3 linked regions of the Drosophila melanogaster genome follow. The protein of the gene in region 3 interacts with the protein of the main gene of each other region in a biochemical or structural test. Each region holds a gene or a part of one and is shown on either strand. Other genes may lie near its edges.

What was found.
Region 1: of the proteins of Drice (region 3) and Parp1, one has a biochemical effect on the other in vitro, tested with the Drosophila melanogaster proteins (one study listed by BioGRID).
Region 2: of the proteins of Drice (region 3) and Dronc, one has a biochemical effect on the other in vitro, tested with the Drosophila melanogaster proteins (6 studies listed by BioGRID, with this or other methods).

Annotation. Positions count from the first base shown.
Region 1 is NT_033777.3:3,581,420-3,592,316, forward strand, and holds the start of Parp1 (Poly-(ADP-ribose) polymerase 1), read right to left. Parts: upstream 5,636-10,897; 5' UTR 5,561-5,635; coding exon 5,447-5,560; intron 4,092-5,446; coding exon 3,950-4,091; intron 3,895-3,949; coding exon 3,561-3,894; intron 1-3,560. UniProt on the Drosophila melanogaster protein: Poly-ADP-ribosyltransferase that mediates poly-ADP-ribosylation of proteins and plays a key role in DNA repair.
Region 2 is NT_037436.4:9,966,225-9,977,073, reverse strand, and holds Dronc (death regulator Nedd2-like caspase), read right to left. Parts: upstream 8,596-10,849; 5' UTR 8,187-8,595; coding exon 7,740-8,186; intron 7,231-7,739; coding exon 6,325-7,230; 3' UTR 6,072-6,324; downstream 1-6,071. Other genes in the region: vnc (variable nurse cells), read right to left, coding at 3,208-3,798; CG42455 (uncharacterized protein), read right to left, coding at 3,823-3,980, 4,073-4,151; CG6674 (uncharacterized protein), read left to right, coding at 5,102-5,410, 5,472-5,864; CG6685 (uncharacterized protein), read left to right, coding at 8,780-8,969, 9,033-9,240, 9,294-9,387, 9,453-9,602. UniProt on the Drosophila melanogaster protein: Involved in the activation cascade of caspases responsible for apoptosis execution. Effector of steroid-mediated apoptosis during insect metamorphosis. Overexpression promotes programmed cell death.
Region 3 is NT_033777.3:29,795,392-29,805,667, reverse strand, and holds Drice (death related ICE-like caspase), read right to left. Parts: upstream 6,011-10,276; 5' UTR 5,771-6,010; coding exon 4,751-5,770; 3' UTR 4,084-4,750; downstream 1-4,083. Other genes in the region: ncd (non-claret disjunctional), read left to right, coding at 21-1,262; CG7789 (uncharacterized protein), read right to left, coding at 1,382-1,923, 1,988-2,366; Etfb (electron transfer flavoprotein beta subunit), read left to right, coding at 2,828-2,878, 3,009-3,719; Rnb (R and B), read left to right, coding at 6,399-6,560, 6,667-6,759, 6,837-7,430, 7,488-7,826, 7,892-8,098, 8,175-8,722, 8,784-8,859, 8,918-9,826; sro (shroud), read right to left, coding at 9,970-10,276.

The sequences.
Region 1 (10,897 bases), about 26 Mb from region 3:
CAATGTTTAAAGCACCAAAAAGATATTGATACTAAAAGGAAAACATTAGCATTGAACCCATTTTTAGATAAAGACGGGCAAAGAGTGGAAGGTAGATTACAAAACTACAGAACTAAATTTTATACGAAATTCTAGATACGTGTAATTTAACATCGTTAATAATCAAAAATGCACATAGGGAAACATTACACGGCGGAATTAATCTGGTTTCACACCAGATATAATCACACCAGATTATATTCAAAGAAAATTTTGGATATTTGGGTTAAGTAACCATTTGAAGCAGTCACTAATGCGTCCGGTTACACAAGGACAACAAAATATTAATAGTTCATCATAGTATTCAATGATGAGTAATTTAAGTAAGATTCCAAGTATTGTTTGGGATCCAGTAAAATTGTCTGCCGCTTACCATAACGAATAAAATAATAAATTAAGGAGGGATTAAAAGAAAGAAGAGAAAATAAATATGAATTAAAGGGCTTAATTTTCAGGCTATTAATTGTAGAATTAATAATCATGCTAATTTTAATTGTATATTTATAAGAGGAATTGTAGTGTCAAGGCGCATTCAAGAGCATTCAAGTTATTGTAGTATGTTAACAGGAAGCTTTTATATAGCCGGCAAGCTCAGCGTATTGGCAGAGACCGCTATGAAGCGTCTTTATGTTACGTTTTAAGTCAGTTTGTTCTGAATACTTATTTTATAAGGAGCACAAGCTTTCATACCGAACTCGACGATCCGCCGTTACATCCTTTTATTGTCACGCTATCTGAGTCTCTAGGCCAGAAGAAGTCGTCCTAATCGTTCTAATTCTACATTTGGATTTACAATCTTAAATATTTTACGAGATATTAATATATACCGACAAAACAAGTTAAATTTCCCATAGTGCACAGTTTTTATGCACAGTTTTTTACTGCTTGCGCCGCTGACACAGATATAAGCCCTATATTAAAATTATACTTTTTTTAAATGTATCCGAAACCGAAAAACAAAATTTGTGTTTACAATTAAATATTTGTTTGTAAGCGCAACAGTGTTACCTCGCTACATTAATAAACGCAAAATATAACTCCAAATGGTATGGTCCTGGTCAATTTGACCCTAACGATGGCCTTCGTGGGTCGTGACATACAATGACGCCATATTTTGGGATCTACCCGTTGTCAGACAACAGCCCTACTGCTGAACCGGTCATAACGTTAAAACAGTAAAGATAACGGTATAATGGTGGTCGCAAGCAAATGAGAAAGCAGCGACAAACGTCAACTAATTCGCTTACGTGTTAATGCTCGATCATAAAATCAATGAATGGGACAGCCGGATAAATCGGTAGCAGTGCTTTAAAGTCGTGCTTTTAGGGTATAATCTTAGTGGCTGCAGTTCCCTGTCGTTTACCTGGTAAATCCGTCCATCAATTTTTTTCTATCTTTTCTATTGTTTAATCATTTTAGTAAATAGGTCGGCTATCGTTGTTAAATTAGGTAACAAAAAATAATGGAGAAGTTCTCCATTTCTCATTGTTCTCATTGTTTTTTAACAAAAATTACTTTTTTACAAATTAGCAGTGGCATAAGTATTTGGACAAATTATTTAAATATTATTAATTCAAATAAAAAAAAGTCAACTAAAAAATTATGACAAATTAATAAAAAATATACCCTCCCTTACATCACCTGTTGCATACGTTTTGGTACAGACTGTACCAAGCTGTGGATATAATCTATTGAAATATCCTTCCATAAGGTTTGAATTTCCAAAATCGTTTCTTCGCGACTTTTAGATAAGTTTGCACGCCTTTTTTTGTTTTATATATGACCAGAGGTTTTCTATTATGTTGAGGTCTGGGCTTTGAGGTGGCTAATCCAATGTGTTTACGCAAACATCTTTCAGAAACTGCGTAATCAGTTTGACCTTATGCTGACCTTATACTCCTGCTGGAGTATGAAGGACTCTCCAAGCAATTTAGGGCAATGCATGATTATTAAGGACATCTATATATATTTTTTCCTGAATGATTTATTCACTGACACACTGGTGCCACTTTTTTACGATAATGTTTCGGTAATCTAACAAAAAAAAATTTTTTTGATCAGTGAAACTCAAAAGAGCTTTCATCGCTCCACAAAACATTGTTTCAGAATGATGCTGGCTGTCCAACATATTTTTTGGCAAAGTCGTGGCGTTTTAACTTATTTGTAGAGTTATTGTGGTATAACTCTGCTAACATATGTTCCAAAATCGGCTTCCTTAAGACGTTCCTTCACTGATATCGATTTCTGTTCCTTCTTTTAGTTCTTTGGCAACCGATCGGGGAGTTTGTAGAACATTCTGCTTAAACTTCCGTATAATATAACCATCGCCCTTTTGAGTTGTTTTACGTGGTCGGCCACTACGCGCAACGTTTTTGGTTGTGTGTGTTTTTTTATATTTATTTATTTGGTAATGCACCGTTGCCCGTGGAATTTTGTATAAATCAATGATAATTTGTACCGAAATACCAGAGTTATACTTAATTATTATTCAATTTTTTATAAATTCGCTCAGTTTCTTTGTTTTCCCCATGTTTAACAAATTTATGAATGAAATAAAAGTAGGCAGTCCCACGTTATCAAGAAAAAATGTTCAAATGATCTAAAAAAAAAGTCGAAAATTTGATATTCTTCGAACAACAGATCAATGCGAACTAATTAAATGTGTCTAAATACTTTTGCCACGGCCCAAATCGTTGCCTGTCTAGCTTTCTTATAAGCACAAGGATAATTGAAAAGGTAAACAGCCAAACTTACCCTTCGTGTGTAACTGTAATTGCACTTTTTGTTTTATCATCAATAGTTTACTTATTTATTTGACTGTACTATGAAAAGCCCGGCAGTTTCAAGCTAATGGTGTCTAAATACTTATGCCCACTAGTGTATGTACCTTTCCAGTATAATTTTAACTCAGCTGTTACATTTACGCTCAAATAATCACGACCCAGCCTAAATATAGCGAAAAATAGTTACATTATTTTCCTGCGGCGATACAACCAATGCCCATCGATTAAGGTCGACTTACATATATTAAATAACATTGTTAAATTCACTTGACTTTTCGACAAACTACAGGCGAAGTTATAGTTGATTTCCTCTACAATCTACAATTGTCAAAAAACTTTTGATATGCCCGCTTCACTCGGATCTGCATGTTTAATCGCAACCCAGTTTTATAGTTCCCACAATCACATCGTTCATACGGACATGGACAATTCGAGTCTTATCTTTTAGGGTGGGATCGATTATTTAATTTTTTTAGTGCCGGAAATGTTGCCTTTACCTGATAAATATTTTTTAACAAAGAATATACACTATTGTACCTATATAGTTGAAGGGCATCCCCAACTAAGGAATGACCAAGAAGAGATCAGAATACTTAGTGGATCAAATTACAGTTATCTATTTCAGTTTACAATCTTCAGTATAATCAAGCTTATTTTCTTTAAGAGGGATAACTTAATAATAGCAATGCAGAACAGTTACAGAACAGTTAATAGAAATTCAATGTGAGATTAACTTACGGTATGGCGTTTTTAACTTTCGCTTGATCATCATCTGCTAAGCTCTGAAATCCTGGCATATCTTCACCTGACGCAAACCAGCCAAGCTCAGAGCGCAATTGGGCGAAGCATTCCAAATGATGCCACAAAGGTTGGCCTCCGTACTTCATACCAACTTCAGTATCATAAACAGTTTTACGTAAGCGAACTAGATCCTTGTTTATTTTTTGTTCACATCCACGACACGTCGATCGACTAGATTTTGCATATTCAATCCCAAAGTCTTTTAATGCTAAGTTAAAAGCCTTCGATCGCTTTTTTCCTAATTGTGCGCTTATAACTTCTTGTATATTTTCTAAGTACATTTCAAAATGTTTTTAAATTGATATAGATCAATTTTAAATACTAACCCACAAGATCCGTTAATTCCTTTTGATCGGCAAATCGGAGATTTCCAATGTTTTGTATGTCTCCTACTGAGCTGGGACGCTGGTTTTTAAAAAAGCAGGTTTTATGAAACCAATTCGGAACTTTGGCATCATGAAATGCAGACTAAAAAATAAGAAATACAATAAAATAGTTTCTTTGTCTTTCGTTCGTTTGGTGTAACCGTTTCAATTAAAAAATAATAATAAAACGATTTTTCAAAAGTGTGTGCGTGGCAGTTTTGTGCAATTTTAGGGCTTTAAAGTGGGCGTGGCAAGTCGATAGAAATTTACAGAACTAATAAAAATGAAAAAAAAAAATATCAACACGTTTTTCAAAAGGGTTGGCGTTGCAGTTTTGTGCGGTTTGTGGGCGTTAGAGTTGCCGTGGCAACATGGGTCATGCTGCATCTATGTCTCTAGAATCTGTATGCTAAATCTCAACCTTCTAGATTTTATAGTTCCTGATATCTCGACGTTCATACGGACAGACAGACGGACATGGTATTCTTGATTGGCCTTGTCCTTTTGTATGAAAGCTATGATCTCGAAAACTATAAAAGCTAGTATTCATGTTTCGCTCTGTGAAAGTTTGTTTCAGAACGATCATCACCATGTGAGGACATGGCGAAAATTCAGCTGGTCTTACAATTTTTGCGGCCCCAACCACAGAACTGCAGCAAGCCACTGGCACTCTTAGTACACCCGCACCCACCAACTGGGTGTCTATACCCCCGGGTGTTTTTTGACACTCTACTTTCGGCAATAAAAAATATCCGAGTGTTTCGCCTGCTGCGAAATAACCCTTTGGGTGAGCGACTCACAAGCAACATTTTTATAGGTTGAAGCGTGACGGTAGAAGAAATGAAGGGTCGGTCCCACTGTCGGTCCCGCTGTCGGTCCCACTGTCAGTCCCACTGTTGGTCCGACTGTCAGTCCCGCTGTCGGTCCCACTGTTAATCCCACTGTCGGTCCCACGTCAGTCCCGCTGTCGGTCCCACTGTCGGTCCCGCTGTCAGTCCCACTGTCGGTCCCACCGTCAGTCCCGCTGTCGGTCTCACCGTCAGTCCCGCTGTCGGTCCCACTGTCGGTCCCAATGTCGGACCCACTGTCGGTCCCAATGTCGGTCCCACTGTCAGTACCAATGTCAGTCCCGCTGTCGTTCCCGCTAGTTTCGATTTCACGTGATGTTTGAGGACCTGTTTTCGTTTCTTCGGCCGCACGCATTGCCACACGCACACTGGGCCAGAGAACTGCAGCAAGCCACTGGCACCCTGTGGGTGAGCGACGCAAGTATTTGTGCCCCCACCGCTACACGATTTACCGCTGGCAATTACATGCCGCAGCTGTCGACGACCGATGGGACTAACGGCGAATCGGGATCTTTTAAAGTTTCGTAAATCAGTATCAGTTTAATCAAATTCATTTTCAATCTTTTATCTGCAGACTACTTACGTATGTATGTACCACATAGTAACTTACTTGAACCATGACAGCAATCCGAAGAGTATCTTTAGATATAGTACTTTTACATCCTTTGCAAGTGGCTCGTCCAGTTCTTGCATACTCAGCAAGATAAGGTAATTCAATATCCATATTACACTTTAAAGGAAGTCAATTTCAAGACATTTATTATTTATCGAATTATGTTGGCGATATTTTCCTAAATAATAAAATTGTATATCGATGTTAAAGACTACAAAAATATTATTATAGACGATTTCCAATGATTCTAAAGACCTTGTACAGGAGCTCATTCCGTAATTAAGCTGTATTCTGTTATAAGACGTACGACTGTTAACTATATAACTTTGTAATTGAATTCGGCAACATTAAAATTCTGTGTCGATTATACACCAGCTAGTTTAACAAGAAAGGGTGGTCATTTGGAAGATTAAGAAGGAATGGTAATTATGTTCTTACTGAATAATAACACCGACCGTTTTAATTAAGGTCTGAAACTGAACTCAACAAATTGATATGGATTGATTGACTTTGAATCCTCGGCCTCGAGCTTTATAAATATGGGCTTTGGATTTTGGAGTTCCAATGAAATAAACAGAGCTTTGGAGTTACTAACATTGATTTGTCTTTGCATTTCTCTTGGACTCGAGTTCATTCGCTATTGGATACAAACGCTCTTAGATCCTCACGACTTTGTTTATTGAAATCTTAAAATAAAGTTTTCGATTATCATCCTGTATACGACTTTGGGCTTATTCCAGTCAGGATTGCTTTTGGTTTACTAGTGTTGTTCTTCTATAATAAGAAGCTGTGTGTAGGCATGTGCTTAAGTCTAATGGACTTATGGATATGCCACTCCCCCAACCATTAGTTTTGGCAAAGACACTAGAATAACAAGATGCGTAACGGCCATACATTGGTTTGGCACTATGCAGCCACTTTTTTGGTGACGGCCAAAATTGCTCTCTTTCCGCTCGCTCACGCTGAGAACATAAGAAATCTAAAAATAGAATTTGCTTGCTTGTGTGAGTAAAAACAAGAGACGAGAACGCGTATATGTGTGCGTGTTGTGCTAGAAGACGATTTTCGGGCCGAAATCAATTCTGATCAAAGAAATGAATTTACATTGTACATATTAGGGTAGTTTTTTGCCAATTTCGTAGCAATATGATGAAATAAAATAATTTTTAAAAATTCGCGCCCTTCTTATTATAATTTTAAAATTTTAATTTTAATTTTAAAATTTTTTAATTTTAAAGCTTTTTAAATTCGTTTGTTAAAATCGCCGCTCGAATTAGCTACCGTTTACATATTTATATTTATGTTGATAATTATTTATGTGTAATATGTGTAATAGTCGGTACCCAGGGAACACCACGGGGAGGCCATTACAATTGTAATGGGGTCTTATATTTACGTATATGACCTTCGAGTCGACTTGAAATATTTTAATGTTTAACATTAAAACATTTCCACATTCCCCAATTAAGTTATTTTTCTAACTATTGTTTTTTATTATATACTGCTCGATTTTTCAGTCGTCAGTTATTTAAATAACATACTGAAAAACAACTGAATCTAATGTGCATTTTAAATAATAAAAATGGATCATTATCATATATAAATCATATTAAGTCAAATGACTTAATAAGTATGCTAAATAATTAAAGGAAGTAAAATATAAATTATTATAACTACTTATAACAAAAGGAATACATTACATCGAGAAATAAATATTTCATAAAAATAATACGAAGTAGAAAATACAAATTTGTAAAATAAATAAAAATATGAAAACTGTTTATTGCAAAAGTCACATCAAAGACACTAGAATTATTCTAGTGTCTTTGCTTTGTTCATATCTTGAGGCACGAAGTGCGGACACAAGCACTCAACAATCATTGCCTTATTAATTTTTCACACGCCGCAAGATGAATACTCTAATGACAAATATTCTTATATAAAGTCATTTTTGAAATTTATTTTTGTGATATTATGTACATAGATTTGGCTATTTCTAATCTATTTTCAAATAATAATAACGTTAAGGCAATGCAAAACAAGAATTTTTCGCATGGTGCCAATTGATCAAAAATAATATAGATTTAAAGTCTAAGAACTTCTACGGTGAAGGGCATATTTTGTCAAATTTACAATGCATGAGCATACGTGTGCACACATAAAGTTGTCTGCTATCACTGTATGCGTAGAAAAGAGCGGTTCGCTGTAGCGCTCTCCGCTCTCTCGCTCTCTAACAAAAATTCGAGAGAGCCTGGAGCCACCTCTAGAGCCACGGCGAAAATATCGTGTGCCAAAAAATCGTATGGCGTTACTCATCTTGTTATTCTAGGGTCTTTGTTATATGCAATCCGACTTAAATAAATTTGTATGTATGAATAGATCAGTTATTTGTTAAATAGCAAAGTTTCTGATCTCTTAAATTTGTTTTTATATCCTTTTTTCAAAAACATAACAAAAAATCTTAATTTTTTGGCTCAACTGAATATGTTTTACACTTTTGACTTCACTTTTTTTGACCGCGTGATTGTAAAGAGTTAAATCTTTTTGTATTCTAAAATTTAAATCATCTTTATCATCTTTTTCTAAAATGGGCCGCGGATTTATTTATTTATTTATTTTATCATATTGCTAGGAAATTGGCAAAAACTACCCTAATATGTACCATGTAAATTCGTTTCTTCGATCAGAATTGATTTCGGCCCGAAAATCGTCTTCTAGCACAACACGCACACTTATACGCGTTCTCGTCTCTTGTTTTTACTCACACAAGCAAGCAAATTATATTTTTAGATTTCTTACGGTCTTAGCGGGAGTGAGCGGAAAGAGAGTAATTTTGGCCGTCACTTAAAAAGTGGCTGCATAGTGCCAAACCAATGTATGGCCGTTACGCATCTTGTTATTCTAGTGTCTTTGCATATAACTAAGTTACAACGTTCAAACCTAAACAAGTAGTCAAACCCATTCAGTTGAGCGGCTCTGTAAATGATATCGTTCAGCTTTCTTCAGTTGGACGGTGTGGTCATATTAATAATATGATCTTTCTACTGCAGTTCGTCTTTTTTTTTAATGTTTAGTGTTTAGGATAAAAGCTTCTTGTCATTTTTGTTTGGTTACAAATTAATATACGTATTTGAATTTTATTTTTAATGTAGCATTCAAATACAAAATGATTAAAATTAATAATAAAAATGATATTGATATTTTCTAATTGTAATTGTTTAAAATATTAATGTTGTCAAGAGTAAGTTCTGAATTGTTGGATTTTATGTAATCTGATAAGTCCAGATTCTTAAAGTGGTTAGTGGTTATGTACTCAAGTAATTTGTTTTCTAAATTGGTGTATCAAATATTATTTATTGTAGTTGTGCTGTTGAAGGTTATTAAATATGACCCGTCTAAATGAGAATTGCTTACAATATTATTTCCTATTATTAGAATGGCACCTTCTTGAATGATATCTATATTCTTATTTTTTCTCGTATCTTGGTGCAAATTTAATTCTCTCCATTTAGTAAGCGGGTAAAACAAGTTTTATCTTTACTTAAAATACCATAGTTATTAGAAAGTTTGTTCTTAAAATTAGATATTTCATAAAAAGTATTTTCCCATTTGGCGATCTGATTAGTTATTAGTGAATGGATCTGGCAAAATAAATTTCACATCTTTTTGTTATTACAGGGTACTTGATATAAATAATTAAGAGTTCGTTATGTACAATTATGAATACGGAGATATCAATTAGATCTGCAATAATTAAAGGCTTTTGTTAGTGATTTAATATTTCCTTAATGTCTTTTGTTTGGTTATGCAGCCTGCAGCCAGCAGCAGCGAATCATAAGTTATTTTATTATATCACTTTTATACATTGCTCTGTGCACCAACAGATTTTGCATTCCCCTTTGTGCTATGTTCCTCTCTCTTAATAGTGAGCGAGCACAACTGTTTATGTGCAACTGTTTTGTACAACTTGCTCATTTGCCTTCTCCATAGCAAAGTCAGTCACAAATTAAGTGTTGATCTTACCGGTACTGCTGTGATGCACATTAACTCTTAATCGGTTCGGTACGGGGACTGCCACAATATTTGGTGACCCCGACGTGATCGGTAACATTTCTTTATCGTGAACTCAAAAACAAAAATTTTGGTGCACTTTTGTGTGTACATAAGTGGCTGTACTTTTCGCCCTATCTTCTTTTCGTTTATCGCAAGCATTCGCTTGCTCTCGTTTCGTTTTCTGTTTCTTTGCTTACGCAGCTAAGCATTCACGCGTAGCAGCAGTTTCTTCTTTGCCGACCGCCAAATTCATGTCGTTTTGGCTGTGCAAAAAAGAACCGACTTTGTGCATAAACATACATCATTGCTATTTGTAATGAGGTCCAAACTGGACCTCAATCAAATGGGAAGCGAAGTGCGTGACCAGTTCAAAGACATTTCTATGAAATGTGGTATATGATAAAAACGGACCTCAGTAGACGCAAAGTGCGAGAGATTGCTTGTTCAACTATGCGTCAATATCCAGGAACTGAGTGGCCTTCTAGTTCTCTATTTCGACGACCGAATGTGCCTAACCTGAAGCTACCAACCTTTAGTGGAAATTATACTGAATACACAGGTTTTATGTCGATGTTTTCTACTGTCATCGATAAAAACCTAATATTGGCTGACATGACACCCCAAGTCTTGCCTAAGAGGTCCCGCTTTGGCTGCCGTTGGTGCTTTAGAGGTTACTAATGCAAATTACCCGGCTGCCCTGGAGTTGTTGGATAAGCGCTACAACAATAAGCCGCTGATTTTGGAGTCTCACATTTCGGCGATCATGAACCTACCAAAGGTAGAGGGTTCATCTTCTGTAAAGCTGCGTGAACTGTCCGACCAAATAAATCTGCGTTTACGGCACTTCACAACATGGTCCCCCCTTTGAAAATATCCGAATGTATTTATTGTTTTCTCCAAAAAGTCGACCGTGAAACCCATCTATTATGGGAGGATGCTGCTCCCACTGAAAGGCTTCCAAAATGTAATGAATTTGTTAAGTTTTTGGAGACAAGATGCCAAAGGGTTGAAAACATCGAACGTAACAATGTTGCACTTAGAATCATGCCACAGGTTGTAAAACCTAGGAAAGCCATCCACAATTCTAGAAATTCATTTGTCGTCACTACCCCTGTCGCTTGCTGCCCTGTCTGCAATGGTGTAGACCACATAATCTTTGATTGCCCACAATTCAGAAAACTGACGCCTCAAGATCGCTTACAGGAGGCAAAAAAAAAAGCTTTTGATGCTCATTCCAACGGATTGCAAGTAGTTGCACAGGAATCATCACCTGGTCAATCTTCTTCCTTAATTGCTCAAAATCGGCCACTGCCGTCATCAATATTCAAAAAAAATCAGGATCTTGGGTTCCTTGTCGCGTCTTGCTTGACTCTGGCTCGCAACTACACATAATCA
Region 2 (10,849 bases), on a different chromosome or scaffold from region 3:
GAAATTGTGGTCTGGCTATGAAACAAGCTTATGGATAGAACAAATAAATAAGATTATATGTTTTAGAGAATGTTGATTTGCCTATGTATATCGGAATTTCTTCAAGACAATACTTTTCTTATTTGTATTCATGTTCTAAAAATTAAGGAAAGGAAAAAAAAATAGAAAGGAGGAAATTAATCAAATTGCTAATTTCATCAACGTGGCTAGAAAAAGCAGCATTAAAAAAAACAAAAGCAGATGCGGTACCCTGCGCTGCTCTGCAAGAAAGCTGGCGTTTTTCAGCGAGTGGCAAGCAAAGTTGTTGACATCTTGTGAGCCAACACGTACCGCCAGTCGGCAGCAACAAAAACACACAGAACAGCACACAAAAAGTAGTAAACACTTGACGGGAGCAGCAGAAACAACACGAACAAACAGCCAGTAGTGCCAAAGAGAAGGAAGGACCAGAACTGAAGCTACGGCAAATGTTTGCTTAAAAATGATGCGAACCCCTACGAAAGAACAAGAATTTCGAAATGGGATGGGTTTTTGGATGGTTTTCTTGGTGGGCGGGGTAGATTGGGGGACTGGCGTTTGGGGATCGGATGCTTCTGCTGCCACTGACAGATGCAAGACGCGTTGACAGTGACAAAGACAATGATGACGACGACGACGATGGTTATGTTTGGGGCTCATCATCAGCAGGGCGATGAGGGGATGTTGGGATGGAGGCCAGCATTTGGCATAATCCTGCTGACAAAATGTCATTACACCATCCACACATAGTGGAGTTGCCTTTTGAAGTTTTCGGCGAAGGCGGAAAAGGCACTGCAAACTTAAATAAATAAATATGCCTTCCCGCTGACAAGTGAGGAAAAGTTCGTACAGATAGCATGTGCGCTGAAGTCTGTGTATTTTCATATCAAGGGAAAATAAGTTTTCAAGAGACATTTGCTCAAATTACAGTCATATTTAAATAACCCGAGAAATTGTTGGCGTTACTTCTGGCATTCTTGGCAAATTACTGCGAATGGATTTTTTGTGAGTTACTTGCATAAATGTATAGAATATGATAAATGTGATACAGTACCGCATTATCTATCTGTTTTCATTTAAACTTTATGTTATCTAGCCTAACACGTTATATATTTTTTTTCAATATAATTTGATGGAAACTTTGCAATAATTGGTGTAATGTAGCTGGTACCTTTTACTGCAAAGTGCCCGCCTAAATCCTGTTGACTTACCACAATATTTTTCGAAATAGTCCTTTTGCCGTAGTCTGGAGTCTGTTGCAGCTGCAGTTATTCCACTTTCCCCGAGGATCGCCAGTCACGCGAGTGGCCCAGTCATTGACAAATGGCCAGAGAACTTCTATTGTTTTATTTTTATTATATTTTACTTCTCTTCATTTTCAGAGCACTTTTCAATTGAGCTTTCTCCCGCTTCCCCGCGGAATTTGGCCTAGTTTGTTGTCTGCGATTTGGTGTTGTTTTCCAAATACATATTTATGTATGTATGTATGTGGGTTTTCCCCTGGCTTTGGTAGGCCTGCAGTTTTGAGTTACTTGGCACTTGGCTAATGCTTTTGTCTGCTTTTCTTCTGCTTTACTATGCTTTTCTTATGCTTTTTTCATGCTTTTCTGCCAGACGGGCGACGCAGTGTCTTTGCTTGCACTTGAGGAACCGTTATCTGGGTGGTGTACGAGTGTGCGAGTGTGTGTGCGCTTTTTTGTGTGGTTGAATTAGCGAGTGAGACACGAACTTTTGACCCCGTTTCGACAATAACAACACGAGAAGAGCAGAGGCTTGGCTTCCATTCTCCGGCTTTTTGAACCACTGGCCGGCTTTTTGGCTTTTCAACACCAAAAGCGCTTACATTTATGTCCGTGACTGTTTTGAGGGTTCTGAGGATTGCCCGAATGAAGGGTTTGCTGAAGTGCCCTGGCTTTTATTGATTTAGCAAGGCGTTATAGCCCGCAAATATAATACAAATCAGGCTCTCATTCGATTGGGGTTATCAATTGGCTTTAACTTTCGCATCAATAAAGTATGTTTACCGTTGGAACTTTAAGCACTTTCCCTCAACACATTCACAGTTCCATATGTTTAACGGCGCTTTTCACTAACGAATTGTTTATTGTTTGTTGTTTCCGCGTTTTTTATTGATTTGGCAGGGCGTTTTTTCCACAATCATAATAAATGCCAGTCATTTCCCGTTAGTTTTTTATAACCCATCAGTAGCAGTAGCACTACTTCCTTCGTTCTTCCTCTTCTCCCGTTGTAAAGAGTGGTTTTACCGTTAGGGTTTTATTAGCACTTTTCACTACAATAGCTGAAGTTCCGATTTGGGTTTTGCGCACGTTTTACGTAGCTAGCCGAAAACTGATAAAACATCCGCATACATGTTGTTTTTGCTCAGCCAGCGCCTCACGAACTGAGTTTAAGAACGGCGAAATACGCGAAAAGCCAGCATCTCAGCTCAGCTGTGATTGCGGTACTTTCGCTCTCTCTCTTTGGCGCCATCCGGAAAAGTACCGTACTCCACGTGGCTAGCGAACAGCTGTTGCCGCAGATGTTCCACTGAGCATGCGCAAAAGGAGCTCGCCGCGGGAAACTGGGAAATTAGAAAGCTCCGTTACTGGAAAATCGGTTTAGTGGGAACGGTTGCTAGCTATTTTCATATGCCATAAAAGTTTCTCCACCAACACGACACCTACAACTTGATGGCACCCAAAAGTTGGCGCGAAAGTCAACACTTCGCACATAAAGACATCTTTCCGCTTGGCCAACTTTTCGGGCCAACAAACTTTTCACATTACAAAAAGCGCACATTTTTTAACCCACATTTGGCATAAATTTTCGCATTACTTGGGTTAACCAGAGCTCTAGCACAAAAGAATGGTAGATATTATAAATTATTTGGGGAGTTTAGAAAACCACTCTCTTCTAAAACTCTACTCAAAATAAAATCAAAAAATTCGTCTTAATAGGTGTTTAATGCATTTATGCATTTTAGATTGGCAATTAGAAACAGAAACCGTAAATAGTATTATTATTACTGATTTAATGGCCTTCAAACCCTTTATTGTTAAAAACATTATCTTTTTGTCATTACTTTTGTTTTAATTTTAGTTACGTTTTTTATTGTTAAATAATTACAAAACCCTAATGCACAAAAATGCAAAAAACGTCGAAGCCAGCAAGCGCCGGCAGCGAAAGTGTTCAGCAACAATGGCCATCGTGACCGCTGTGGTTGTGCGAGTGGCCATGTCCGCCGGATCTGTGGACCGCCTTCTCCTCCTCCTCGCCTGACTGCTTCGCAGCCTTGGCCTGATCCTCATCGGCAAACTCGCTGAGGTCGCGTCGCATGGCATATGCATCCTCGCCATCGGCATAGTACTTGGGCTCCACCTCGATGATCTTGAACTTGAGGGCGTTGGTGTAGAGGTTCAGGGCAGCCCGATTGCTCTTCCTCACGTGCAGGGACACGTACTGGGCATTGAAGCACTCGACCATGGCCTGGGAGGCCTGATTCATGAGCTTCTGGGCCAGGCCCAATCGCCGATAGGAACGCTTGACCGCTAGCGAGGTGATGTGCCCATGGCGGCTCTCCTCATTGGGCTCCGGCTCCTCCATCTTGGCCAGGACATAGCCCACAATGGCGCCCTTGTCGTCAACGGCCACGTAGCTAAGCTGAGGCCAGGTTAGTCCGTGGTAAAAGTAGTACTTCATCTGGTAGTTTTCGGGTAGACACAGCAGATTGCAGTGCTGCATGGTCATTAGGTCTTCCGGTTTTGCGCAGCGGATGTTCATGGTGAGGCTGTGTAGATGTGCTTCCTAGTCTCGGCGAGCTTTCCTGGCTCTGCCGTGGTGGTGTGGCTGTTGATTCTGATGATCCCAAGCAAGTGGTTGCTGATCCTCCGGCTCCTCCTGACCCAACAGCTCTCGAACCAGACGAAATTTCGATAGAAACGCCTTCCAGATGAGGAACCAGCCTGCAAAATAGACAAATTTCAATATGACTTGTTGCTCGGATCGTAGAAAATTGTTTCCATTATAACGTGATCGTCTGCGGGCGCCTGCTTACCCAACAAAATAATTGCTGCGACGATACTAACAGAGGCTAATATGGTGAAAATGAAAGCCAAGCCCGTTTGCAGGGACATTCTAACGGGGTAGTACGAAATCAGGAAACTATAAGCATTAAACTATAAATGAAATTTGAAAATAATAATTAAAACTACTTGTCAAAGGGTTTAATTTTAGTTTCCAGCAGCGAATTAAATGTTTTTTCTCCCTATTTGGATTGCTATCACAATAAAGAACAGCTGTCCTCTGGGTGTGGCCGTTATTCAACACTGAATGAAACCAGGGATACAATTTCTTGTGCTCTTTTTGTGGTAATAAGTGGGATATTTGCAAAAATTAACAAAAGCACAAATAAAAATATTGCAATCAAATATATTTATATTCTTCTGGCAATCTAAAACTTCTGCTTTTCTAGTTTTAACATTTATTTAAAAGACCCTGGCACAAGTGACTTTAGTTGCCACCAAAAACCACATGGGGTTAGAAGTTCCACTAAGCTGTCTGAAAGGCCTTTCAATAGAAGCTGTTCGATGAATCGTCCTTTGAGACAGGCACACTATACACATGGTCACGCCTTTGGGTTAGTTTTATTCAATATCCACCTGGCTGTTTAATTTATTTATATTCGCGAATGAGCACACTTCTTCCACACTAAGTTTATACACCGGCACCAGTCTGACCAGAGTTTGCGTGGGCCGAAATTCCAAGATATCTTAGTTTGCAGAGAATACCAATCATACTGCTACTATATTGAAATAGAATGGGATAAATTCAAATCTGTTAATTTACGTTTAAAAAGTATTTTAACCCTATGATGTCAGTTAACTCACATAGTATAGACTAATCCATAGAAAAGGAAATGGTTTAATAGCTGCCTTAATAGTCTAAAAATACTGCACGTTACTAAAATACTAGATGAAAATACAAAACGGTAACTGTGAAAACAGCTGATTTGCAGCAAACAAAGTTACCTCTGCAAACACAACGCATTTAAGCAAATGCCATTTGTGCAGTTTAACTAAGTAAAATGCAGGAATTTTCAGCCAAACGAGACGCTCTTTTCGCATGTCTCGACGATGCGAGCAAAGAGTTGCGGGGAACTGCCTTGGATCAGAGCAAGGCCAAGGCGTTTTCCATCAATGCCCTCGATCGAGGAAACAAATCCGGAAACGAATCCGGACAGGTGATGAACTACCGCCAGGGTCGCAGCATTGTTACTGGCCTCGATGCGGAGGATGGAAGACTGCGACGAATGCGCGGCAAGGAGAGCATTTTCAAGAAGCCCGAACTCCCCATTGGACGCTGTTTGAAGCCAAGAAAAACGCCAGATTACCAGGTGACAGACCATCCCTCTGCAATTAGTTGTCCCCACCCTAAACGTTTGACCTACTCTCTAGGTAAACCCGCACAAATGGAAGAAGTACTCCCTGTCTGATGTGGACATTTCCGAACAGAGCAACTCCGCCGCCGCCTTGTCCTTCCTGCGACAAATGGATGCACAGCGCGAGGCTGAGGGCGTCGATAACGAATCTCCACCTACAGATGGCAAGATCGAGTTCAAGAGGACCAGCAAACTCAGCCGCAAGCTCAAGAGCCTCAAACAGCAGGAGGTGGATGATGTGGAGCTGGATAAGCCGCAGTTAAGAGGTTCCAAGCTGGTGATGCCTGAGTATGTAATTGGCCAAAAGCCGCATAAGCCAAAGAAATGCAAAACCAAATCGGAACAGAGCCGTGCAGCGGGAAAACTACAACTGTCCCACTTGGCGGAGGAGGATGAGCAGGATGATTAGGTTAAAATGTATGATCCTAAGATTATATTATATAATAATTAGTGTCCCAATGAAATTTTAGAAATGTAAATAGATTTTAATTATATACAAACTGCGGTTTGTTGTGAAATATCATCGTTTATTTTGTAAGTGTACACACTCAAAAATCAGACTGGAAAATTGCTTTACATTTTGCCTAAATGTTCGATTTCAAAAATCTGGCTGTGTATATACTGGAACTCTGTATTATAATATTTGTAGATTTCTGGCAGTTATCACATAAATTACATAATTTCGTACCTTTAAATGAGGTATGCAATACGTATTAGAAGAATACTTGAATGAGTATTTGTTACAATATAAACATTTTATAGCACGCGAGCACAGAACACATAATCTAAAAGACATACTAAATGCGACGATAAGAACATAAATGCGGTTAAAAATGCATCCGGAATGATAAAATGTCCAGTGGCGGCAACTATTCGTTGAAAAACCCGGGATTGAAGTAGAGTTTCTTATTAAAGCCAAGATTATCATAGGCACCTGTCTGCATGGAACCCTTCTTGGTGCGCTTATTACCCACGGCTTCGCTCGTCTTCTTTAGGATATCCTCAAGGTCTGTGTCGTGGGCATGATCGGCCATCACTTGGCAAAACTTCTGGATGTACCAGCTGCCCGTGTCGAGATCGCGGTGGGTAACATAGCCCGGCGTATTAGCATAGCAGACCAGAGTGTCGGCAAGACTTGGCACATTGGTGCTCGGGCTGGGTATGCCCTCCGTCTGGGTGTCAGGCCACTTCTCCTCTTGCGCCGTATACACTGGCTCCATGAGATTGCCTTGATTCTTTGGATGGCCCAAATCATATTCATCGCCGCGGCAAAAGGGAAACATAAGCACCTTCGGCTTGTTCACCAAATAAGGACATTTGGCCGTCTGGAAATGGTCCTTGATCTTCTGCATATCGACCACAGATCCATCGCAAAACTCCACCTTCTCTTTTCCCTCCACACTGTTGCCGTGTGTCATCAGTACCATTACGAAACACTCGGTATTCTGCACATACGACGAGGAGGTCACCATTGTCAGAAGTTTAAAGAACTGATCCTGATTCACGTTCCCATAGGGGAAAATCGTAAAATTCAGTTCTTGAAACAAGTGTATCAACGACTTGCTGTCCTTTTCGGCTCCGATCCGTCGACGGTTTTGATCCGGATAGTCCATTATGTTAACCATTAGCAAAACGCCTCGGTTGAAACGTGATTGCATCTTATATGTGCCCAATATGGCACTATCCCCACCATGTATCTTTTTCGATTTTTTTACCTCGGGACCGTCAACGACACCCACATAAGGGGTGAGTGCTCCCAGCGGCTCATTCCGGAGCTTTGGTAGGAGAGAGAAAGAAAGAACAAATTACAATAAAGATAAGATTTTCAATATATATATTATATTTTCATTGCACGGTTAATGTGGCAGACAAAGAAGTAATCAACATTCGTGCTATATAAACACAGCTGCCAGCAATATTGCGATAAGATTCTGGTTAAAAACAAATCCTACTAAAAGAATAATTGGGATAGGTAAGTAGAATGGATGTGATTCATGCTTCCAAAAAAAATGGAAAACAAGAATCTCATACACGAACTAACTTCTGAAAGAGAAGCAAATAATACTGTGCACATGTACCAAAGTAGTATTCATCATTGAGTCCATTTACAATTCTTAAAGATACCTTTTCTAATCTCATTCCAATAGGAATAACTCAATTAACAAACCTAAAAAAAAAAATGCAAATAAATTGTGCCATAAACCGGTTTTTTGTAGAAATCAGGGTCAATGACCTGAGCTGCAATTTCACCATCAAAGCTTTCGTATGATTTTATTTTCATTACCTTGCTAACGCAGGGTCCTTCGGAGGCTTCGGGTGAGGGTGTGTCCACAATATCGGCCGACTTCCGGCTGGTTCTCCGTTCGTTTAGCGAGATAAAGGGTGGCCTTGAATCGGACTCATCGACGGATTCCAATAGAACGGCCGCATCCAGACAATTGATATTGCGCAGTGCATTGATCAGCAGGTTATAGGCGGTGGGACCACGCTGGGTGATCTTCAATAGGAGCCTACGATGCTGCTCCACACGCACATCCTTCTCGTCCATGTTGAATGGCTTGCCATTGAGATCCTGCGTATTTCTTAGCATCTGAACGGTTAGGATGCCCTGTTGCACGCACTCCATGGCCAGACGCTCGTAGTTCGTCCATTCAACCAGTATATTCAGATTCTTGCGTATATGCTCGCGATGCCTCTTCGGCATTCCAATCTCGAGCTCCGGCGGCTGCATTCCGGATATGGCTTCCACGCGTTCCGGTGACTCCGCTTATTGGGCGCGCCAAGGATGGCTGCCGTGATCAGTCTCCAATTGGCAGTGGTATTGGCAGTGAATCACCCGTCTCCAAGGTTTTCCCGGGAATGATTTCGTTTATCGCTACTTGTCGATTCTTTGTCTCCGCTTTGTTGTTGTCGTCGTTGTTTTTGTTTTGCGACTTTCAAGAAAGGGGCACAAATCGGCGGCCCTGCTGGTGTCCTTATTTTTCCAAAAGTAAATTAACTAGTCTATATATTGCACTAGATGATCCTAGCAAGGATCGGGGATCTTCGAATAGGATTTCTTTCGAAACAAAAGGACCAACGAGCGTTTCGCGCCGCCAAACTCGCCACTAAACTAATAAATGAAACTTTGGGATTGGTGTGGCTGCTTGTGGGTGCGCCATTTTAACCAGAGAACGCGTCCGGGATAAATCCATGACATGAACCGTCTCCATGTTCCACTTATTCCACCATTCCTTCATTGCCGCATCAAATGATTCAATTTAATACTAAATACCAAATACCATATGGGGTCAGCCTAACAAACCGTAAACATAAACAAAAGAAATGGAGGAGGAGCAACAATTTACGCCGGAACCGAAAAACTCCGCGCAAAAAGGCGCAGAAAAGCCTGCAAGGATTCCGAGAGAGGTGAAAGTTAAGCTGCAAAGGCAACTAAACAGACTGGGCTACTCACAGCAAATCCTGCTCGAAGCAGCCAAGCAGCAAAATCAAAATAATTCGAATGGCATTCTCCGTGAGTTTTCTTAAAACATGCATAATGCAATAAAAGTACATTGTCCCCCAATCCCTTTTCTAGAGTATGTGGCCGACATGATTGGCAAGGGCGAGGAAATGGTGAAAAACTGCGACTCCGTTAGCTTAAACAACATTAACCAGTGGCTGGAGCTCATGAAAAGTTCGCAACTCGCTGAACTCTGCGAATTCGAAGCAGCCGTCGTTGTGAACTCCATAATCCAAAATGAGACAAAGCCATCGCCAACGGAACTGAACGGCATTGACTTGAAGTAGGAATGGTTTTGATAAACTACATTTGTATTTAGCATTGTGGTACTTTCAGTGAGGCCTACAAGTTTCTGGAAAACGCTTTGATGGGCCAGCCGCAAAAGAAGATGAGCGATGCGACCAAAGAATTTTTGTCCAAGGAAATTGAGGTGAGCAGAAGGCTGCATCAACTTTCCAAAATAGTTAAAAAAAAAGGAAATCCTAATGCCAACAGCTGCTCATAGAGAAGGCAAACACCGACGAATCCGACGATGTGGCACGCAGCATGGGGCAGCGTTTATTTGACCACCAGTTTTTGGATTACATGGAACAGCGGCAAAAGTGCAGTTTGGATCCACTATTCCTGGACGAGAAGCTAACGTAGAGGCTGTTATTGAGTAATTGAGGAATTTAGCACACAGAGCATTTATTCATTTCCACACATTTATTAAACATTTAAATTCAATTGTTTGTTACATACGTACATTGTCACACGCATTTGCACCGCTCCATTATCATCAATCAAATCATCGGATCCCACGTTTATACATTATTAGTATTACTATGCCAAATGCCCCAACCTTTGTACGTATTAATATTTGATAATTACACTCTTAATTAAGTACTTGACTATAAACAGTTTTAGCACATTTAAAATCTAGAATTCCTTTAGTTGTACACAATTACTTCGAGTAGTGTAAGAAAAAGTTGTGGGTCTTTGGCCTTTGGATTCTCTCAATTGCATAACATTTATTGTGCATGATTGTTTTCAATTGTTGGGGCTGCCAATTAGCATTGCATAGACTAGTGTAGAGATAGGTAGTTTAGTTTTAGGTTTTGCTACGATTAGCTTTGTTTTAAACTTTAAGAGGCATAAAAACAGTTGAGTGCTGCTTGACTCCCATAGCATCACAATAGAATCACAAGAGACAGAGTTGGCTTCATTTCAATTCAATTCATTAGAGGATCTAGGATGGTACACTTACGATAACATAACGTACATACGATCAGAATTACATACAAATTCGAATACAAATATAATACCCTTTTGTTTTAGGCGCAGTTACTAGCACTAAAACGATCTTCACACAATCAAATGCAATTCAATAATGTACATAATATAACTCTTAAATGTTCAGTCCAGTTTGAGCTTTTGGTTTTCCCCTTTTTCTTTGATTTAGATTTTGTTTTTAATTTTTTCATTTTTAAATTTTTTTTTTTGTTTCTTGTGTTTAGGTTTCTGTCTTGTCGCGTAAACATTAATTAAAATTAAGTAAATCTAATTATATATACGTACGATTAAACGCTAGTAAACCATATCGATATGCTTGTCTAAGGTGAAATAAATAAACAACAAATTCGGACCGAACAAAATGCAAAGCAATTTCAGGTGCATGGCAAGGATATGCTGGAGTTTCAGGATCAAATTAGCTGGCATTAACCAAACGCAGATCCAACGAATCGAACAAACACAACGAACGACAACAACGTAACTTAAAATTGCAATTGTTTGTTAGTTGATAGTTGATATAGAATTAGTTTTAGTGTCGCTTGAATTTTGATTGTCCCGTTCCCGTTCGTGTAATTCATACTTTTATTCATATCATTCGAGTATGTGTATATAAAGTAGAG
Region 3 (10,276 bases):
CAACAATGTGTGTGTTGCAGAAAGTAAAAACGGAGCATGCTGCTCTAAGCACAGAAGTGGTGCATCTGCGCCAGCGCACCGAGGAACTCCTGCGCTGCAATGAGCAGCAGGCCGCCGAGCTGGAGACCTGCAAAGAGCAGCTCTTCCAGTCGAACATGGAGCGCAAAGAGCTGCACAACACGGTCATGGACCTGCGCGGCAACATCCGGGTCTTCTGTCGAATACGACCGCCGCTGGAGTCCGAGGAGAACCGTATGTGTTGCACCTGGACCTATCACGACGAGTCCACCGTGGAGCTGCAGAGCATTGACGCACAGGCCAAAAGCAAGATGGGCCAGCAGATCTTCTCATTCGACCAGGTCTTCCACCCGCTCTCCTCGCAGTCGGACATCTTCGAGATGGTCTCGCCGCTCATCCAGTCGGCCCTGGATGGCTACAATATCTGCATCTTTGCCTACGGACAGACGGGCAGTGGCAAGACCTACACAATGGACGGAGTGCCGGAGAGTGTGGGCGTCATACCGCGCACGGTGGATCTGCTCTTCGACTCCATCCGGGGATATCGCAACTTGGGCTGGGAGTACGAGATCAAGGCCACCTTTCTGGAGATCTACAACGAGGTGCTCTACGATCTGCTGAGCAACGAGCAGAAGGACATGGAGATTCGAATGGCCAAGAACAACAAGAACGACATCTACGTGTCCAACATAACGGAGGAGACGGTTCTGGATCCAAATCACCTGCGCCACCTCATGCACACGGCCAAGATGAACCGTGCCACCGCCTCGACAGCTGGCAACGAGCGCTCCTCTCGTTCCCACGCGGTTACCAAGCTTGAGCTCATCGGACGCCATGCCGAAAAGCAAGAGATCTCCGTGGGTTCCATAAACCTGGTGGATTTGGCCGGCTCTGAGTCTCCCAAGACGAGCACCCGGATGACCGAGACAAAGAACATCAATCGCTCGCTATCGGAGCTCACCAACGTAATCCTGGCGCTGCTGCAGAAGCAGGACCACATCCCGTACAGGAACTCCAAGCTGACGCACCTGCTGATGCCCTCGCTGGGCGGCAACTCGAAAACGCTTATGTTCATCAACGTCTCGCCGTTCCAAGACTGTTTCCAAGAGTCCGTCAAGTCGCTGCGCTTCGCGGCCTCCGTAAACTCCTGCAAAATGACCAAGGCCAAGCGGAATCGCTACCTGAACAACTCGGTGGCCAACAGCAGCACACAGAGCAACAACAGCGGCAGTTTCGATAAATAAAGAATGCATTCTGAGCCCAGTTTTAACAATTTTCAAATTTCTAACCTGTTATTGCTTAATTTATGTGTGTTTACTTTTAGTGCAAATAAACTAATAAAGTGCTGGAATTCAAAGCTATCTCACTTGGCTCCCACTGCTGCCCGCACCTCGGCGGGAATCTTTTCCACCAGCGCGGCATGGTCCTGTCCCAGGCTGGCCAGCACTCCCTGTCGATTCACGTGCTCCACATCCGCATTGTAGGCGTAGTGCTCGCCGTTGATGTTGGTGAGGCAGCCGCCCTGGGCCTCTAGAACGGCCTCGGGTGCGCAGGTGTCCCACTTCTTGCAGCCCGGCGTGGCGAAGACGTACGCGTGGGCCTTTCCCTCCAGCAGCTGGAGCACTTTGAACCCAGCGCCTCCGACTTTCAGAACTTCTGTGGATGCGAATGCGTTGAGGGCTTGCTGATGCAGGGCATTGGAATGCGAGCGAGTGGTGGTTATGATGAACTGGCCGGCTGGCGCGGGGACTGCCGTGAATCCTCCCGTGCCCAGACCCTTCAGGCCCCAAATGGTGCGACCCATTTCGCCATCGGGCTGTTGGTAGAATGGCTGATGAATGATGCCGCCCACAGCAGCATCCTTCACGGCTATGCCGATCAGGACGGTCACGTGTTCAACGTGTCCTGCGGATGAAAGGAGAACATTTAGTTTTATATAAGGAGCTCTACAGGTATCTCCAGATCGCACCCTGTGTATACTCCGCTGTGCCGTCTAGGGGATCTACCCATATGACAAAGTCCTCGGGCTTGACATCCTTCCACTCAGCGGGGCAACTGTGCTGCAGGAATTCCTCATCCAACTCGTTCACCAGCCAGTCGTCGCAGACATTCAGATCGGATCCACCCTCCTCGCCAATGATCTTGACGGTGGGGAACTTTTTGGCCAAGGAGGCGATAATGCAACGCTGGGCAGAGCGATCTGCCTCCGTCTGCGGATCGTTCTTGCCCTTGTCCACTATGCCCAGGTCACCCTTCTTGAGCACGTCGCGTATGATGCCGCCAGCCCGCTTGGCGGTGCTGATCGAGGACGCCATGACGCGCATAATTACCGGAGCAGTTGCAGCCATCGTTATTTTATTTGTATGGGACAAGGATGCGGGAGATCTTTTCAAGATTGGAATGAGATGTTTTCGTCGCTGCAGAGAAGTGATTGCGGTGAAAGTAGAACAGCTGTTGGCGGCTAGAGAGGAGCGAAAAGCACAAAGTTTAGCTACTCCCCCGTAAATAGTTGAATTCGTAATTCATCAACTCCACAGTTTCAGAAATTATGTTTCCTAGTTTTGCTTAAAGTTGTTAGTCCTTTAAGATACATGAATTTAAAAATGTATTTCAGCGGGAATATTTGGACATTTTATAGCTGCAAATAATCGGCTGCTCTGTCTGGCAACGCTGTAGCCGGAGAAGACCTTTGGACCACCCGCGCCCCCGCCGCCAACAAATCAGTTCATTTCCATCTTGAAGAGGTAAGTTCTTGAAACTCAGTAAATTTCCGTAAATTTCATCAATTTTATAACTAATTTGGCAGAAAATGGCGCGTGTTTTGGTTGGAGTTAAGCGTGTGATCGACTACGCCGTCAAGGTGAGCCTGAAAAGTCGCCTGTTGCGCATCTTGTCCCATTGTCTTTTTATCACTTGTTGCGCTCTGTTTTGCGTAATCGCCTTAATTAAGCGGCAATTAAACTAATTCAGGTTACATTTATCATGTCCAGGTGCGCGTCAAGCCCGACAAGACTGGCGTGGTCACCCAGGGCGTGAAGCACTCGATGAATCCCTTCGACGAGATCGCCGTGGAGGAGGCGGTGAAGCTGAAGGAGAAAAAGCTGGCCGAGGAGGTGATCGCCGTCTCCGTGGGCCCGGCCCAGTCGCAGGAGGTGATCCGCACCGCCCTGGCCATGGGCGCCGATCGCGGCGTCCACGTAGAGATCCCGGCCGCCGAGTACGAGCTTCTGCAGCCCATCCACGTGTCGAAGATTCTGGCCAAGTTGGCTCTTGACGAAAAAGCCGACCTGGTCATCCTTGGCAAGCAGGCCATCGACGATGATGCCAACCAAACGGCCCAGATGACCGCCGCCGTGCTCGACTGGCCGCAGGGCACCTTCTGCAACAAGATCGAGAAGACAGACGCCGGTCTGACCATCACGCGTGAAATTGATGGTGGCCTGGAGACAATCAAGACCAAGACCCCGGCTGTGCTGAGCGCCGATCTCCGGCTGAACACCCCTCGCTACGCCACGTTGCCGAACATCATGAAGGCCAAGAAGAAGCCGCTGAAGAAGGTTACGGCCAAGGATCTCGGCGTGGACACCTCGCCCCGCATCGAGGTCATCTCCGTGGAGGATCCTCCTGTGCGCCAGGCCGGCGCCACCGTCGCCGACGTGGATGCCCTGGTGGCCAAGCTAAAGGAGGGCGGCCACATCTAGATGTTCCTCAACTAGAAAATTGTGAGCGCATATTCTACGTTTTTAATTAGTCGAAAGTTATCAGAAACGTGCATTTATCTAGCCGGAGAGTCGGATTTGCTGACAGGCTTTAAATTTCTCTGAATTCAACCCATACCCGTGTGCTTTAAGTGAACTATAAATTGGAATTTATTCTCGTTGTGTCCAGCTCTAAGAATAAAGTGATTGTAAGCTCTGAAATCGTACGATCAGGGTCAGCCAATGGCTGGACTCGTCTATTTTTCCGTCTCCGCGTGCTACCTTTTCGGGAAATGCCGCTCAACTTGGCGCCCAAAAGAGGCGACAGGGTCAACAGCAAACAGCCAATGGTCATTGATTTCTCATTGTTTTCAATCGGATTTATTAGCGGTTAACTTGAAAGGAGAACATTTGCTAATGTGCATTATATAAGAGTACAAATGGCATAGAAATAGTATATATTGTTCATAAAACACTCGACTACAGGCTAAAATCGTTTGTTTTCGTTTTGGACGACCATGACACACAGGCTTATACTATAAAGATATCTATGTGTATAAAATTGTAAAAAGGTCTTGTCTGTAAATGGTCTAAGGTAGATATAGATAAGGGTGGGCCGACATTCCTGATCGAGAATCAAAGAGGCGCAAGTTGTTCTATGATAAGGTTTAGTAGAGAATTTAAAATTTTGAGATCGTCTTTGTTCAGTTGGCAAGTTAAAATTGTCAAAAAATTTTGGCCGGAGTAAAAACCTCTTAGATTTCTAAGTTAAATCGATCTACTCTACCCACCCCAAAAAATATAAATACAGACGAGTAAATGCGACATTAATAAATGTCAATCGAAAGATACTTTGTGCCTAAATAAAATAAAACGGGCAGTGGCACCAATCTCGTCGAGCAATTGGGCAGGTTAAAAAAGTGTTGTATAAAAAATATGCTGCAAGGCCGATAGCCCATGAGGTTCTAACTTAATTGCGACTTGGTTTATCACACACCTCGCCGTACCCACCGTTTGATCCATACCATTAGCCATCAAACCCGTCCGGCTGGTGCCAACTGCTTGTCGCTGAAACGCAGAATGCGCGTCAGCATGGTGGTTATGCAGGGTATCTGCTTCTGCTGGTGCATCTCCGGAGTGTCCGGGGTGCAGGACTCAAAGTCCACGGCCACCCGCTGGCACACGAATGTGAGCAGGGTCAGGATGTCCAGCCGCTTGCCATTGGCCGCCAGTTCGGCGCACAGGCTCTGCATGAACCAGCTGCCGCGGGTGGTGTTGCGCCACGAATAGAATCCAGGAACCGTCGAGTAGGCGATCAGAAAGTCGGCGTGCACTGGAATCTTGTAGCTCATCGAGGAGTCGCCATCGGTTTCCGTCTGAGAACGCTGCATGGTCACTCCGCCATCCAATCTGTCGCCCTGGCAGGCCTGTATGAAGAACAACTTGGGTTTGCCGGCTAGCGAGGGGCAGTGATTGGCCGTGAAGAAGCTCCAGATGTTATCCAGCTTGTACTGTGTGTCCTTGGCGTAGATGTAGCCCATCTCGCCGTGCGACAGGATGGCGACCAGGATGCAATCACTATCGCTGTGATTCTGCGACGCTGCATACTCGATTGTCCTCAAAATGTCCTTGTAGCGGCAGTCCTTGTACACGGTCACTTCGAAGTCCAGCTGCTTGAGCACCCGAGTCAGATTCTCGCAGTCCACATTGGTTCCCGCGCGAGACTTCAAGGTGGGCACCTCGAAGTGCTCATGGTTGAAGATCAGTGCCATTCCGCGGTTCTTGTGGCGCATGTTGTACTCGGCTGCATGGCGGTCGGTGACCATTTTGGCTACATTCTTACGGTAGCTGGACGAGGGTGAGCTGTACCCGTTGGCCAGCTGCCCAATGGCTCCGCTGCCGTAAGGATGCGAGGATCCTGCGACCAGGCCGCTGCTACCCGCTCCTCCGGATCCCACGGAGCCCAGGGCATCTGTGTGATCGTTGGGCTGCTCCGGATTGCCCACCCTGATGCCCACCTGGTCGGCGGATTCTCCATTGTTAGTGGCGTCCATGGCTAAGTTCTCTCCTTGAGCCTGCGAAAACTGATGAGTCACAAGCACTGCGAAACAGGTTTTTCCAAATCTGTGAAAAGCTTGGATGCACGACTTGGGCAAATTAGCTTCGTTCTGGGGAAAGTCCGTGTTTACGCGCAACAAAGACAGCTAGTTATTAACTAATTACTTTAGTCGATTGCGTTTTTGTCTTTAATTCTGTAAGACCGTTGTTGGCAGTTGAAAAACACCAAATAGCGCCTGATTTGGTGATGACACTTCAGCCCTCGTGTCACGATTACGGTAAACAAAGAAAGTAAATAAATATAGGAAAAATTATTAAATGGGTTTTAAAAAATATTAAAATAATTTGAAATTAAAAGCTTGGAGGTAATTTTGTGGGAACTTGTATAATCTACATAAAAAACAGGCCTGCTTCCATTTATTATTGTAGAATCGAATTCGCATCCAAAGCTAAAACGTAAACATCAGTTTATAAATAAGGCAGACCGCTGCTGGATTTTCGAAAAATAACGTAAAATACCGTAAAATACGCTCTTATGCACGGTCACACTCTCAAAGAGGTTTGAGACGCACTGTAGAATTTGTTGAATTGTTTCAATTTGTTTAAAAATTAAGAAAATTACCAATGTTCTGGACACCAGAGCAAGTGGAGAGCATGCTGGAAGTGCTAAAGACCTCCACGGATCGAACAGTCATTTACAAATGCCTGGTGAAGCTGCGCACCGATCTGGTGAAGGATAAAAATGGCATTGTTTTATTTCGCACTGCTGGGGGCGTTCACATCATGGTGGGTTTGGGAGTCACAACGCTCATGGTGGTTTGACAGCCACTGCCGCTCACATAGGATCGTTATTCGAATCGATTTTTAAATCATTATTAATTGCGTCTTCCAGGTGCGACTGATCACCAAGCTGAATGAAAAGATAATGGAGGTGGTACTGAGCATACTGGGGAACTGCTGCACCGACGAACAGTCCTGCATTGAGGTGGGATTATCAGATTACATTTTTATCTTTATTTTGAACCACAACGGTTAAAAAAATTTAAAACTTTCCACTTTAAGGCTGTTGAATGCAAGGTGATTCACCCGCTGGTGACCATTCTGAAGACCATACCTAATCCCCTGATCCAGTGCCGCGCCTGCCGGATGCTTGGAAACATCGCCAAGAGCAAGAAGGCGTCCCAGTGTCTCACAGTGCACTATGCGGCCATTGCACCGGCCATCTGCCACATCATTGAGTCCACCAGTGCGGTGCAGACCCGCATCATGGCATTCCGCGTCTGCCGTTTCCTTCTGGCCAGCAGCCAGTTCCTGAAGTACTTCCTCATGGCCAATGGGTTCCAGCAGCTGATGCGAATTTTTCTGGCCGTGATGAAGAACGAAGAGGCATCCAAGGAGCCCGTTCCGGACATCGAGATGTCCACGCTGATTGGCCTGAAGAGGAACCAGCACCGTGAGAAGTATTTCGAGGAGGTAGCCCGGAATTTGGAGGGTGTTCGCAGTGACATCTTTGACCACCAGATGCTCAAGAATTCCACAAGGAACTGTGACTATGCGCTGCCCAAGGAAAATGAAGCGGCCGTTGAGCTGGCCCTCGAGATTCTGAAGTGTCTGGTCCTGATATCCGCGCAGCAAATTGGACTGAAAGTTTGGGAGGTGAGACTGTTTTCTAAGTTCTCCAAAACGTAGTACATAATAAACATTTCTTGTTAGTCCATTTCCTGGAATACCTCGCTCGCCTCCATTGTGTGCTTCGTAAAGGAGGACGGCGACCAACGGGCCTCTGCCCTTAAAATCCTCTCTAACTTCTGCAAGGATCCCTTCGCCTTCTACATGCTGAGCACTGCGGATGCCATTGTGGCTGCCTGCGAGATGCTCATGGCTGTGAACATGGCAAAGCCACTTAGCGAAAGCGAGAGCCGGCACTGCATCAACATAATCTTGACGCTATCCACCGATGCCTGCAGCCGCTCGAAGATCCGGAGATGTGGGGCACTGCGCAAGCTGGTGGCCATGATCCGGGACTCCAACTCGCAGAGCGAGCGATCATCGGTGAGATGGAAACCAAATCCCTCTTGACATCTGCTATATATAATGGCTTTCTTCATACCCAACAGCTATTTCACATACTTTACAACTTCCAATATGATAACTTAAGCATGGAACTCATGCTGTATGAAGGACTAATGCCCATGTTGGTGCGGGAACTAAACGATTACCTGACCAGCGATGATGAGCATCACAAACGTCGACGAGACGAGAGACTGCAAGGTGGTAAAAAAAGAAAACTGACGGATCCCACAACGCCAGAGACGCTGAGCAAGGTATTTATTTAGCAGCATAGCAGCTAGCATATGTTTACAAGCCACTTGCTAATTATACCCACTTTTTGCACACAAGTTCTCAAAAACCCACGAGACCTTAGGATCGGACTTTGAATCGCCGAGCAGTTCACCTAGGTCTTATCGCACAACCAGTCCCTGCAGTTCGCGCAGCATGTCACCGGTGTGCACAGATCTGCTGACGAATGATGACGACGACAACTATTCTCCGGCGTGCAGTGATGACGACGAAGATGAGGATGACAGCACAAATAATAGCAATTTGGACACAAGAGAGCGGCGCATAGCCGCCAATCGTTCGCAGCCTTCGAATGTTCTGGATATACTGAAACTAATTGAGGAGGGCAGCGAACCCATAGATGATCCGCTGTCCGACAAAGAGGATCTCGAGGAACTGAGCTCGGATGTACCACCGAAACTAGCCCCGTTCCGCAATACAACATGCAACACCATTGACATAATAGAAAACCTTATCTATCGCATCACGCTGATGGTGAACAAGCGAGTGGAGCTGGGAAAGCCAGAGACGCTCGACACTCTGATTAGAGCCATCAAATTGTTTGGATCGAACAATAATTTCCCAAATGCCCTGACAAATATTCTACTGTAAGTTGTCAAGCTGAACTAAGGATAAGCATGTATTCTAATTGCACGTATATCCTTTCAGTGAGAGCCAGTTCTTTGCCCAGATAATAAAGCATGGCGTGGTCCATCAACTGTACCAGTTTACCAAGCTGAAGGAGGTAAAGTGAGCCCATTCATCTAATGTTCATCACAGTTAACACCGCACGTATATTTCAGATTCGCAAAGACGGCTTCGCCTTCTTGGAGACGTTAACCAATGTGGGAGAATCGAATTATGGCAAGGAGGAGCTAGTGCGTCTCCTGCGCTGCGACGATGTGATATCCCAACAGAGAGCCGCCATTTCGGTGGCCTACATAGTTAAAAGCCATCGATTGCTCTATCAGTTCCTGTACGACGGCAATGCGCTGAATATGCTATTCGACATGATGCTGCGCAAGAAGACCGAGGACCACTACGCAGATGAGGCGGCGGATGCGGTGACATCGATGGCGCGATATACCCTGGGCATCGTTATGCCAGAAGCCGAACCAGCGGAGAGTACAGCAGGAATCTGCAACCAAATTGCAAATGATACCGCACCGCTGCACGCCAACTGCGACATGCGATTCCTCGTTGGTCATGGAGCGGATTCCACCTCCATTGGGTTTAATAAGCAGCTGCTCTGCGACACCAGCGAAGTGTTCAACAAGATGCTCAACAGTGATTTCCGCGAGGGTCACCAAGGCGAGATTCAGCTGCCAGATTACACTGCCAGTGGACTGCGCTACTTTCTGCATTTAATCGTGTGCCAGGAGCGGCATCTAACCGAGCCGGATTACCCCGCCCTGCTGCAGGCCTACGAGATGGCCCGCGTGTACATCATGCCCGATATGGAGGCGGTATTGCAGCAAAGACTCATCCAGTACCTGGACTCACACAACTGCCTGCGCCTGCTCGAGTGGGCGCTGAAGAACTACCATGCCGACCTGACGGAAACTGCCATCAGCTTTTATCTCTGCTCCGCGCTGCCCGCGCAGGAAAAGCTTCAGCTGTTCCGGGCAGCGGAGGACTCCACCTATGCCAGCGAGTGGTTCCAGCTGCTCAACGATGCGGTGTTCGAGCGCTGTCGCGGCTATGTCTTCTAGACACCACCACCCAGTTGCGTTCTGTGATCACATTTTGGCGTTTTCCATTCCCTGGATTCAGCTCGTTTTATTTGCCACAGCCCTTAGCCAAGTATTCCAATGTGCTACAATGTATATTTAAAATGTATAGACTACGGATTAATCTAAATCTTCTCCTGCCTGTTCGTTGACTCGTAGGTGGGCATCGCGCAGAAACGCACCGTGAGCCAATCCACTAGCGGAGTGGGGCAGAGCGTAAAGAGCCAGCGATAGAGGCGATATCTACGGGGTTCCTCGATGTACAGAGCCAAGGGTTGTGAGCTGGTCAATGCATCCTTAAACTTTGCCAGCAGCGACTCGTTCCTCAGGCGATTGGGCGGCTTGAAGCCGCTCAGTACTTTCAGATAACCATTGAAGGCCTCGAAGTAAGTGTCGTACAGAGCGTGTTGCTCCGCACTGAAGGCTTCGCGC